Linked DNA regions of Arabidopsis thaliana. The protein of the gene in region 1 purifies or fractionates together with the protein of each later gene. This does not show direct contact. Each region holds a gene or a part of one and is shown in the gene's direction. Other genes may lie near its edges.

Evidence for each region. Proteins that work in one complex are often made in the same cells at the same time.
Region 2: the proteins of AT3G07750 (region 1) and RRP41 purify together in Arabidopsis thaliana (affinity purification with mass spectrometry; 2 studies listed by BioGRID, with this or other methods). This does not show direct contact.

Annotation. Positions count from the first base shown.
Region 1 is NC_003074.8:2,471,370-2,477,050, forward strand, and holds AT3G07750 (3'-5'-exoribonuclease family protein), read left to right. Parts: upstream 1-1,862; 5' UTR 1,863-1,956; exon of another isoform or gene 1,957-2,108; 5' UTR 2,109-2,116; coding exon 2,117-2,239; intron 2,240-2,331; coding exon 2,332-2,388; intron 2,389-2,476; coding exon 2,477-2,569; intron 2,570-2,770; coding exon 2,771-2,849; intron 2,850-2,943; coding exon 2,944-3,068; intron 3,069-3,375; coding exon 3,376-3,519; intron 3,520-3,609; coding exon 3,610-3,849; 3' UTR 3,850-4,206; downstream 4,207-5,681. Other genes in the region: ADA2A (ADA2 2A), read right to left, coding at 140-198, 288-348, 455-527, 606-731, 818-883, 1,012-1,214, 1,351-1,412, 1,641-1,693.
Region 2 is NC_003074.8:22,799,819-22,807,005, reverse strand, and holds RRP41 (3'-5'-exoribonuclease family protein), read left to right. Parts: upstream 1-2,901; 5' UTR 2,902-3,171; intron 3,172-3,813; exon of another isoform or gene 3,814-3,925; 5' UTR 3,926-3,984; intron 3,985-4,084; 5' UTR 4,085-4,095; coding exon 4,096-4,149; intron 4,150-4,238; coding exon 4,239-4,285; intron 4,286-4,377; coding exon 4,378-4,438; intron 4,439-4,530; coding exon 4,531-4,572; intron 4,573-4,651; coding exon 4,652-4,716; intron 4,717-4,803; coding exon 4,804-4,882; intron 4,883-4,976; coding exon 4,977-5,013; intron 5,014-5,102; coding exon 5,103-5,305; intron 5,306-5,389; coding exon 5,390-5,479; intron 5,480-5,576; coding exon 5,577-5,624; 3' UTR 5,625-5,785; downstream 5,786-7,187. Other genes in the region: CRF6 (cytokinin response factor 6), read right to left, coding at 785-1,732; AT3G61610 (Galactose mutarotase-like superfamily protein), read right to left, coding at 5,977-6,185, 6,266-6,365, 6,460-6,562, 6,652-6,786, 6,864-7,027, 7,112-7,168. UniProt on the Arabidopsis thaliana protein: Non-catalytic component of the RNA exosome complex which has 3'->5' exoribonuclease activity and participates in a multitude of cellular RNA processing, maturation and degradation events.

The DNA of each region.
Region 1 (5,681 bases):
TATTACTTTACATATGGAATCATGGAAGAGATAATATTTGGGGTCGTAGTACGAAATGCGGATGATTTGCGTCCTTAGCCATAAATCTAAGTGCAAATAATGTCTACAATTTTATATAGATAAAAGCATTTTCACATACCTCCAGCTAAGGCAGACAAAGGTGGATCTATTTCATTGACCTTCCCTGAAGCTTCGTGTCTGCCCATGGAAACATAATAGTACTTTTAAAAAGGTGCATTCAACATTGTAAACGTAGGTAAACTATTGTTACAAGCATAAGTATATACTTGATTTCAGCTGACACAGGTAACTCTTCTTTTGGAGATAGCCTCACAAATGCAGGTATTTCTGTGACAAATAGTAAACAGAGCTCAGCATCCTCCTTTTTTCAGTCAAGGTTAATATACGAGTCCCAAATCAACAAGAAACCCCGCTAATAGATTTTAAAGCTGACCTGTTTTGACTGCACTATCTTTACTCATAGCAAGCAGCTCATCTTTGCTCTTTCCAATAGTATGGGACAAGTCCTACAGAGCGGGGAGCTAGAGTAAATAAACAAGCTAGGTTCAACTATCTGACGATCATGTGTTTTCATCAGTCCTTACCGGAAGTGGAAAGCATGGTGACTGCATGTAAGCAGAATTGAAGTGTTTAATACATTCTGTCGTTGTCTTACTACCAACATGGTCTGCAACTTCTTTCCAATTGCCAAACCCGTATGTCGCAATGGCCTAACACAGTCAATTTACTTCCCAATAGTCAGATGGAATCTCTATATAGACATGGGAGTGTACAATCAGAAACGATTAATGATTACCTCAAGAAGGAGTATCTCTTCATCGGCATTCCAATCAGAAGTAACAAGCGAAAAAGACAAATTGTCCTGTCAAACAAAAGGGTAGATTCAATACAAACAAAAATACAACCATAGAACATTTTCTTTGTTTTAAACACAATCACTAATCTAATTACTTTTCAGCTGACAAAGCGTTGAATTGAATTCAAATATACTGCTCGGCGTTGGAAACTAACCATAACACGATATGGGTGACTGTTCTTGTGACGATTAAGTTCAACGCCGACAGAAAAGCATTCCACACAAAGATCAAAGTCCATACAAACAGCACATTTGAAACGAACCAAACCAGACAGATCTTTATCGCAATAGTTACAACAGTAAAGGCCAGGTTTCCTCTCATTCCCAGCTTCAATTCCTACAATGTATTGGTACATGTAAGAACTTTTGGAAAACGCAGCTTGGTACATGATACATCAATGCATATCTATCCACAGCAGAAACTTTAGTCCTATCAGTATCACACCTAATTGCACAAGTAAACGGAAACCTACCGGTGGAAATTGATGCCGCAGCATTCTCAGGACCCAATGATATCTTTTTCCTTTTTGATTTTCTGAAACAGCCAAAATCATCAAAATTAGGATAAAGACAAGAGACGACAGCAGTATGAAATCAAGAGCCACCCACAAGTACCAAAAGAACTCCGATTCAGATAATCAAACACAGCTAAGTGGATTACCAGATATTGAAATGTTTTCGCAAAGACAAGTAAGTAATTGAACAGAGAAAACCCTAGAAGACTTCGAGCTAAGATGGACAAAGAACGAAACTTTAAACGAACCCTGGATTCAGGTCTTCCTCAGCAGGACGAGAAGCTAGTTTCGAACGACCCATCGGCACCAAGCTCGCACTTCTTCCCGGCAGATTGAAGAAAAAACCAGAAGAGCGAGAAAACGCTAAAAAGCAGTGAAAAAATGGTAAGTCGGTAAATGACTAAATTACCCTTAACAAGTGTCAATAATTATGTTCACGCCATCTTTAAACCCTACGGCAGTTGTCAGTGGTCACGTCTCTCTCTTAACCTAACCAATCCAAAGTTGCCGCTAGGGTCACCGGAAAACTTCAGAGTTGTGTCTTCTATTGAATTCTCCGGGAAGGTAAAGAAGATTAGTGGGTTTTGATTGTGCTGTATAAAGATGTGTACTTTGTTTGAGCTGTCTCTTAAACCCTAGCACCAATCCGTGAACCTTGAAGTTTGTCATTCCGGTAGAAATTCCTCAGCAGTTGATCTAATTCGTTCTCTGTGTAGTATTAGTGATGGGGCTTTCTCTTGGGGAACAACATTTCATTAAAGGTGGGATTGCTCAAGATCTTCGAACTGATGGTCGGAAAAGATTGACTTACCGTCCTATCTACGTCGAAACCGGTGTTATTCCGCAGGTAGTGTAATCTCCTAGAGCTCGTCCGCTTCTCATTGTTGCTTCCCAGTTGTTTAACAGATATGTTCTTTCTCTTGTTTTTGTTGGCTCTAGGCTAATGGTTCAGCGAGAGTTAGAATTGGTGGAACCGATGTGATTGCTAGTGTAAAGGTACTTCCTTTGTTCTCTCTGCTACTGTTCTATTGTTGAATGGGAAGTGCTATTGTAGATGTTACCCAGTAATCTTGTGTAATTGCAGGCTGAAATTGGGAGGCCAAGTTCACTTCAACCCGATAAAGGAAAGGTTGCAGTTTTCATTGATTGCAGTCCAACAGCTGAACCGACATTTGGGGTGAGCTTTTCTTTTATTTCGTTTGGTTTTGGTTCTATCTAGCACTTGTCACACCCGTTCTATCGTTCTATTGGTGTTTCTCTTACTAGTGGAATTGTTCAACATGAGATTTTGGTTATCATTACTTTTCTTCAGAATCTCCTAAATTCTACTGTGTTAAGTCTTTAGGCGGCTAATTCTTTGTGATATGTTGTTACTTAGGGGAGAGGAGGTGAGGAATTGTCTTCTGAGCTTGCTTTGGCTCTTCAAAGATGTCTTCTGGGTGGCAAAAGTGGAGCAGGTCTGCAATCATGTTTATGCAATGCTTTTTTTTACCTGCACACTGTTACGCTTTCTGTTTGTAACGTTTATAGCAATTCATGTTTTGGTACCAGGAGCTGGAATAAATTTATCTTCGCTTTTAATCAAAGAAGGAAAAGTTTGCTGGGACCTTTATATTGATGGTCTTGTCATTAGTTCGGATGGGAATCTATTGGATGCCCTGGGTGCTGCCATTAAGGTAATTCTTGTGATGTGTGTTTGGTTTTCTCTCTTAACCCTTAGTCTCAGGTTTTAGTTACGAATGTTAGTGAGTAAATCATACCCATCAATCAGAATCATGAGAAAGGAAAGGCCAGAGAATATAGGAAACGAAAGGGAATGGGTCTTTAGTTAAGTGTATATAGATTAGCTCAATGTAGTTGTCTTGTTATTGGTTTTAGTAGCTTTACGATATGTTTCCAATTGATAGTTTAAGCAACCCAAAAGTCATCTTTCCTCAAGGCTGATCACATGCTTTAATGCACTTGTTGACTATACTCCTGCAGGCTGCTTTAACCAACACGGCCATCCCAAAAGTCAATGTTTCAGCTGAAGTAGCAGATGATGAGCAACCAGAGATTGACATCAGCGACGAGGAATATCTTCAATTTGACACTTCCAGTGTCCCGGTCATAGTCACGTTAACAAAAGTAATCGAATCTCACTTTTCTTGATTCACATCGACATCTTCTTATGTACATTTCGCTAATCTTTTACCATGCTGTCCTTGGTTTTTGCAGGTGGGAACGCATTACATAGTTGATGCAACAGCAGAAGAGGAGTCTCAGATGAGCTCAGCTGTATCTATATCTGTGAATCGGACAGGCCATATATGTGGGTTAACCAAACGAAGCGGGTCTGGCTTAGACCCAAGCGTCATCCTTGACATGATCTCTGTTGCCAAGCATGTGACAGAGACTCTGATGAGCAAACTTGATTCAGAGATTTCAGCCGCAGAGGCCTGCGAAGACGAATCTTGACTCTTGAGTCTCAGAGAATCAAAGTTTCAAGATGAAACATGTTAGCAAGGGATCAACAATATTTGTATCTGTGGAAAATCTTATACGAAGTCAGAACAGATTAAGCTAATCAAAATCCTTTTTCCTATGTTCTAATGTTCCATGCTTTGTGATAGTAAAGGTGATATTTTTGCCATTATAGTATTAGTAACATTATATCTCATCTAGGGATTATTAAAAGAGGCGTTCCTTGGATCTCTGTGTTTAAAGTGAAAGACATAACAAGTTACAAAAGGATTTGTGATATTTTGGGAGGAGGAAATGAGAATGGAGATGAGGTCAGCAAATGAAATTAAGTGGACTTGGAAAAAAGAGAAGATTGGTGGTCCATGATTAAGCTCAAAGGTCAAAAGAGTGTGTGAGCAGTGTTGGTCACGTGTATCTCAGCTTCGGGTTTGGTAAAAATGGCTTTGAAACATTCAATTGTTTTCTGTAAAACTCCCAAATCCGATACTATTCACATTTGTTTCCTCCTTCATTTCATAACAAGCAAGCTGGCAGAGAAAATTTGGTAGTCATCTATTATGTCATAGAATTATGATATGGTACATACTACAAAACAACAAAAGGAGGGAGCAAATAGAAAGCGTTAAATGGCAAAACTCAACGAATTTACGTATATTCCGATGAACTAACTAACAATGATATTGATAACTGTTTTTGCGAATCAACTAACATCGTTTCCACATTTAAATTGTGACTAGCATAAACAATTAAAAAGTAAGATTTGAAAATCAGTCGGTTAACTAATTGGAAAAGAAAATGAAACTAAATTGATTGACTAAAGTGATTTTTTCTTTTCTTATTGGCCACTAACTCTTATTTTGTTTTCATTATGGAAAAAGAGTCAAACCTAATCAAATATATTTAGTCTATGATTTACCCTAATAAAATATACACAAAAAAATTGATAACTACAGTACTTAAAGGTTTTTAACTGTAAAAGTTAATTTTGACAGTAAAAATATTTATTTCTAAAAATAAAATAAAAAAAAAAAGAGAAAAAGATTTAATAGCAAAAATGGTCGTGGTACGGAGAGACGGTGGCGCGTGGAGGCGGGAGAGGAGCGTGGAGGAAAAGAAAAAGAGCCAAAAGAGAGGAAAAAAGCAAACACTTTCACTTGGTGGACCCATTTGTCCCTCCCCCAGACTCTCTCTTCTCATCTCTCTCTCTCTCTCTCTCTTCAAACCCTAAAAATTCACGCATTTTGGCACAGTTAAGTTCGCTGAATCCCGTTCCTCTTCCTCTGTCTCTCTCCCCAAGAAAATCACTCAGATCAAAGCTCAAATTTCGGATCTCACAGCTGTCGCTTCGGTAGGTATTTCCTCTTCTTTTCCCCCCCTTTCTCTTCTCCTGTTTCGTTTTCGATTTGGATTACACGAAATTCATGTGATATGTTGCTTCTTTGGGTTTTGTAAAATGATTGCTGGTGAATTGTATTGGGAATTTTGTGCAGAGGAAAGGATGACCAGAGAACATCCTCCCGAGCCTCTTGATTTCTTCATCTGGACTGTTGAGGTATATTCAATCAATCATTCCTTCTTTATAAGCCTTTCATGATGATCACTTCTTCAATTCGCATGTTTCTTGGAATTGAGCTCTTCATTATTAGACTTGTTGGTTGCAGAATCATGTTTATTAAATTATTCAGCCTATTTTTGATCTGAATTCAGCCTATTTAACCAGTTACAGGGTTGATTTGATATTTCTTCAGGTATGACCCTAGTTTGCCTTAGGCTTGTTCTTGTTGTTTGATCCAATTACACTGATTGATTTAGTTTACTATGTTACT
Region 2 (7,187 bases), about 20 Mb from region 1:
AAAAAGGATACGGATTTACATTTAATACACTCAACAAAACCAGCACCAATTCTACATGACTGAGAACATTTTTGTAGAAAGCGATAAGTAAACCATGACATCGCTTCATAATAATTGGTAGATAGGAGCACCACAGTTTTATTTTATTTGTCACAACAAAACAACAATTGCATATGCAAAAAAAAAAAAAAAGAAGAAGAGAGGTGTTGGTGCATGGTGATTACTATTTAAAATATAATTTTTTATATTTTAAAGTACTATATATATAAATATTTTTTGATCTCTAATCACAAAAGATGATATCAATAATATGATACAATCATTCATTTATAATTAGTCAAGATCATGACTTTTCTTGAATTTCCAAGACTGTTCTGACAATTCTATTTGTGAATAAGTTTTTTTTTTGTTTTTTTACTTCGAAGTAAAGACTTGTTTCACTTGTCGCATAATCATAATAAAATTCCATACGATTTGTTTTTCATAAATAATTTATAGACATAGAAACACATTTATATACTGCTTCCTACCGTTGAGACAATCTCAGAGAGAGGAACCAAAACAACGAAAGGTCCAAACCTTGATAAACATTAACATACTTATCTTCTTCTTAACTAAAATATTTACCCACAAATTAATAAAACAAAACCCTAGTTTTTTTGGGTTTGCGCTTCAGTTGATCTGAACAGTCCACGTCATTCAGACTAAAAAAGGTAAGCCGACGGTCACGATGTATCCACGTCATCATCACCACACAAAAATTTCCCCAAAAAAGAAGAGATTTTTAATCGAAAGAGTGATGATGATGGTCGAAGAAATGATCCACATCCCATGGAGAAGACTCGAAATCATCAATCAAACCAAACTCGAAATCTTCAGTTTCGTTTTCTCCTTGTTTCGAAACCTCTGTGTTTGGTAACAACGTTGATTGGATTTTGGTTTCTTCATCGAGAAACAAAAGGTCAGGGGCAATTTCGGTATCCCAAAAACATTCGCCGGCGAGAGATAAATCCGGTAACAGATACGGATCCGGGAACACCAAACCCGCCGACGATTCTTCTTCTTCTTTTATAACCGTCGACTTTCTCTCCGGAGATAGCTCGATCGCTTCAATCTCATGCTCTGTTTCCTCGTTGACGTTGAATCTTAGAACAGAGGTCGGTGAATGAAGGCTCTGCCGAGAATCTCTACCGTAATCGCAGGCGGAAACCGTTTGGAGATCGATAACCGGCGTTGGCGTCGGCGGAGTTAGGAAATTCGTGAGCGCTTTAGGTCCTTTGAGATGAATCGCGGCTCTATCGTACGCTATAGCAGCTTCCTCCGCCGTGACAAAAGTCCCAAGCCAAATCCGAGTACGGCTCGACGGATCTCTAATCTCCGCCGCGAATTTTCCCCAAGGTCTCTGTCTCACGCCTCTGTACTTTTTAGGCTTCACCGACGTCGACACGTCATCTTCAACCACTACGCTTTCCTCCTCCTTGTGCTTACCTTTCCTCGCCGCGGTGGAGGAAGAAGATTCACCTTGGCAGAATCTAATCTCCTTCACGTATCGTTTCACTCTTGGAACCACCGTGACGTTGTTGTTGTCGTCGTCGTCGCTAGACGAGTCAGTAGCGAAAGGATCAGTAACAGTGATACGGACCAGTCTCGGAGACCCGTTAGATGGTGTAGCTGCTACGTTTGTGACCGTACGATTCTCTGTGAACTTCACTCGTCTCGTTCGTCTCTCCATAGAGAGAGAGAGAGAGAGGGAGTTAAAAAATGAAGAGAGGTTTTTTTCACTGTTTTGAATTTGCAGAGAGAGAGAGAAGAAGAGTCAAAAGGTTAAAGAAGAATCGCCGTTTCTCAGGAACATCCTTCTTAAATACTATTAACTCATCACTATTTTTGGAGATTTTTGTTTAGTAACGTGATTTTTTCTATGTAATTAATTTAATTAGATTTTAACTGTTACAGAGAAATTGATGCGTGTTCAACACTATTCATATGATATGAGACACTGACCCAATCAAAACTCATTCAACCTTATAACTAAACGTATCTTAAAATATAGTTGGTGAAATGACATACGTTTATCAAAGCTTAACCTATTGAAATTTAATCCGGTTAATGGAGTTTATAAACCGGGAATTAGATTTGGATTTAATGTAAAGAGGGACGATGCTTAAGGGCGGTTTCGTGGCGGCCAATGGGGGATCCAGAAACGGCTTTCCGCATCTCAGATTGAGACGTTAGATTTATGACACGTGGTAGTTACCGTACCGAAAGTAGAGCCAATTGTCCTAATCTATAGCTTGGTCTCCAAGCAACTTTTAACTCTTTTACGCGCGGTCTGTTTTACGTTTGCTACACGCGCCGGCTAGTGGGCTCCACGCGTGTGAGATTGGTCACGAGTATGTGTCAATTCGCATTGACCCAATATGGAAATTGTGAAGTTTAATGGTAATGAATCTAACGATGTGTTTGAAAGAGTAATAAAATCTCGTCTTTAATATTAAAATATATTTTTAATTTCGGAAAAAATTTATGATCTTTTGCTTGGAGACCAAGTCTCTTATCAGAAACTTTATTAGAAAAAGCTACTATTAAAAAGGTAACTAGAAATTAGATTTCCATAGTTAATGGTTGAGCTTTGACTAGATTTGGTCCTAAAATAATAATTGAAAAATAAGCTTTTATTATATCGATAATTCTACAAGTTAATATACCAAATCTTGTAACTTACAGTAATTCTATATTGTTTTATTTTGAACCTTATATAACTTACACGAATTCACCTGTGATTTTATAAAAAGATACATGTGATTTCAAGACTTTTTTTTTACGTGGGATTAGTCAGGTACTCGTGTTAAAAGTTAGACCTTAAAAATAACAGTCAGTTTGATTTAATAATAGTTAGTAGTATGTATATGGAACATTAAGTCGGAGAGGGGTTAAACTCTAGTGTATCGGGTTGCTTGGCATGGAACAGATATCGCGGAACCGGTAAGTCGGAGTGGTTAGCTTTCTGGGAGAGTTGTGGTGGGTTGGTGCGACGGCGGAGATAGGTGCAGATGGAAACCGGAATCTTCCAGCTGCGTTTCTCGATCCGTCGTCTGCGGCCGCAAAGCTGTGATGCTTGAGTCCGCCAGATATAAGGCTCCGACCACTCTGCTTCCGACCAGCAGCAAGGTTCGAACCTCTTTGTTTGTCGGTGACTTTTTCTGTTTAACCTATTTTGTAACTGGATTTCATCTGTGTATTGGGTCTTAGCCCATGCCCTATTGGGTTGTTTTTAATATATTAAAAAAAAAAAAATTGTATATGGAACATTAAATTGCATGACATTCGTTAGGATAGTCGTAGTAGGTACTACTTTTACTAGGTAGAGACTAGAGAGTGGTCTCTCTTAAATTGTCTAATATGGTTTTGTATACTTTTTGATCCAAACATACATACATAAAAAAAGAAGATGTTAGCAAACCTTAGTAAATAATTCCATCATCTCCTCCGTCAGGAACCCGTCATTTTCATATACCTCACTTTGCATTCATTTGTCGGCATTGCCACACGTAACTCCCGACACGTTGATACTACTATCAATATACTATTGACTTAGAAATTGATCTAGATACTATATTACTATTACTAATACATACTTGAAATAACAGAGTCAACAAGAAAAGCCTTGATAAAAGAAAACAACAACAATTTGAGCTATACTTTTGAAGGGATCTCACTCTTAATTCTCTTATTGCATGCATGTTCCCGCAATTTTGAGCTTTACTTTTCTTTGCAAGCGAATTACCAATTTGCCTGGCTTCATAAACTAGAAGTTATAAAAAAAAATCCTCCTGTGATTTGACGGTTTTACCCTTAAAATCTCACTTAATTCACAAAAAGGAACCAAAAAGCCCTAATCTTTATGTTGTCGACACTCTTTCAGTTCTCTCGACGCCGTCCATCGCCCTCCGTCATATCGCCGCCGCTAAAGTACTGGCAGAGGTAAATTCGTCTCTTGTTCCCTGTTCTGTGGGATCAGAAAGTATTAAACTTGTTCTGTTTCTGTCTTTCATTGCTCTCATCCTTGATTATCTCTACCTAGAGTTCACAACAATGGAGTACGTAAACCCTGAAGGTCTTCGATTAGATGGTCGCCGATTCAACGAGGTATGTTTGCATCTCTATTCACTGTCTTTGTAAGCCACTGCCTTCACAAGTTAATCGGTCTATTCGTGATTGCTTGTAATGAATCTCAGATGAGGCAAATCGTAGCTGAAGTTGGAGTTGTTTCTAAGGCTGACGGGTAAAACTCAAAATCTGTCTCTTATCTTTTTCCGTATCTCAGTTCTATATTCGGCACTTTTATATGAACAAAAATTCCAACTTTGTTTCCAGTTCTGCTGTCTTCGAGATGGGTAATACCAAAGTAATTGCAGCTGTTTATGGTCCAAGAGAGGTACTTGATTACTCTGTTACTCACCTATCAAGATTGATACTTTAATTGTATAATTCAGCGAATTGGTTATTTCTGTTAATGTGCTCCTTCAGATTCAAAACAAGAGCCAGCAAAAGAAGAACGACCATGCAGTGGTATGTATATGCTTTGATCTTGTTTAGTATTGTTCTTGGTGAATATGGAATGCTTATTGCTAATTGTATGTTTTGGTAGGTGTTGTGTGAGTATAGTATGGCTCAGTTTAGTACTGGTGATCGTAGAAGACAGAAATTCGACAGGTTACATTTTACTATATAGCTGAGAGACTCTTTGCTTTTTCTTACGAAAATCATAAAGTTTGAATTGTTGTGTATTATGATGGTCAGGCGATCAACAGAGCTATCTCTTGTCATCCGTCAGACAATGGAAGCTTGCATATTAACCGAATTGATGCCTCACTCTCAGGTTTACTTTTTACTCTCCGGCGATATTGAAATCTAAATTTTCTTTCTTCCTCCTCCTTTTGCTTGCTTCCTGATGAATTGTTTCCTTTATGCAGATCGATATTTTCCTTCAGGTTCTACAAGCTGATGGAGGTAAAATTAAACTAAACCTCTGTTCTGAAGTTGACCTTTTGATCTCTTTCAATCTCTGATCAGCCATTAGTGTTATGTTCTGTAATCAGGAACAAGATCAGCTTGTATCAATGCCGCGACTCTAGCTCTAGCAGATGCTGGAATTCCAATGCGTGATCTCGCTGTTTCCTGTAGTGCTGGATATTTAAACAGTACTCCTCTTCTTGATCTGAACTATGTTGAAGACAGTGCTGGAGGAGCTGATGTAACCGTCGGTATTCTACCTAAATTAGACAAAGTGTCACTCCTTCAGGTTTTTCTTCAACTCTTCATATCAGATTTCTATACATTCGCATTCAGATGATTCTAGACGCTTACGTTTGGGTTTAATGTGTAGATGGATGCCAAGTTACCGATGGAAACATTTGAGACAGTGTTTGCATTGGCTTCTGAAGGTTGCAAGGCAATTGCAGAGAGAATACGCGAGGTAACAATGGACTTCTGAATCTTTCTAAGTTTTCCCTTTCCACCATTGAAAAGCGTTCTTTGTTTTCTAAGTCTTTGGCTCTTCTGTCTTTGTGAAGGTACTTCAAGAAAACACCAAACAGCTAGAGTATCGCCGAGCTGCATAAACTTTAGAGTTAGAGAAAAAAACGTAAAGCTCCAAGATTTTTGTTAATTAGATTTTGCTGTTGTTTGTGGAAGTTGAGGATAAAAAGCTAGTAGTGCAAACTCTTTTTGGGAAAAATGAATCAATTTGGTAAAAAGATCAAACTGAATCGATTGAACACAACTTGTCCTCACATTCTTACATTAAGCCGAGGAAAAAAAAGACCAGAGGCTTTTTCTGTCACTACATCACAAGACTGGTCTGAGAAATCACCAGGTCATAAGCTCTAATGTGATAAAACAAGAATCAACAAAAAGAAAGAGATAAAAGAAACGGTGGCTCTGCTCTTCCAATGTTGCATACAGAAACTAGAGTCAGAATCCCTTGCTCTGTAGTTCGAGTTGATCGAAGCAGAAACTGGATTTAACAGCGGTCAATATTAGCCGGCCGGTCCATTCTTCTCCTGGCTTCAAAGTGATCGGTCTCTCCACTGCTGCACCATCCACACAAAGCATGCTTTTGTACTCTTCATCACCAAAATCCGCCATTGTTTTCGATTTCTTCTCCCATGGATTCCACACCACTGTACCATCCATCACGATTAATGAATCATATCATATACAACAAACAAGTAATCGAAACGAGTTGTTGTGCGATTATTACCGGTGTCTGGAAGTCCTTCCTTTCCGATAACATATGTTCTTTTCCGTTCATGATCAAGAACTGCAACCACCTTTGGTGATCTAAGGTATGTCCGGTCCATCTGAAACATGAATCAAAAGAAACTTCTGATATGAAGTAACCGAGCAAAGATACTTGTTCACTATCGATAACTGCAGAATCTTGTTAAGGTTTACCTCGGATTCAAAGGTTATTGCATCGCCTTGTTCAGTCAAAAGCTGTCTTTGGCTGAGGTTGTCTAAGTAGTCCAATGTCTCCAACCCTTCAATTCTCACTTCACTGTAGAGAAGAAAAGTAAACATTGTTGGGTTATAAAGATTTCACCAAACACTGAATAATCTTTTGCTTGACTTATTGAAGAGTAATACCTTATGTCAGAGACAGAGAGGTAGGTGTGATATGCAAATGAGAAGCTAAAAGGCTTGCCATTGATGTTTCTAATCCGAGAAGTCAATGTTAAGTCGCCATCTACAGCAAGCGAAACCCTAAGACGGAACTCGAAACTGCAAGGGAATAAGCATAGAATTTTAGAATCTCTGTCAAGAGGAAAAAATGAAGAAACAAGTGATGAGGAGATTACCTATGAGGCCATTGCTTTAAGTCATCTTCTGATGGTTTCAAAAGAAGATCAACAAAGGATTTTCCTAAGGATTCGTTTGAGTTAAGTGGAGGTGGGTTCTCATCGATTACCCAAATTTTGTTCCTTGCAAACCCATGTTGATCCAGTGATCCACAATCCCCAAACTTCACAAACACACACACAAAACTTCAATGAAAAAGTGATCAACAAAAGATCTCAGTTCAGTGAGCGCTACTAGTAAATTTTACCTGCGGATAACAAATCTGAATCCCTCCACGCATTGATTTTGGGGGTTTGAATATAGCCTAACAAATTCATAACAAT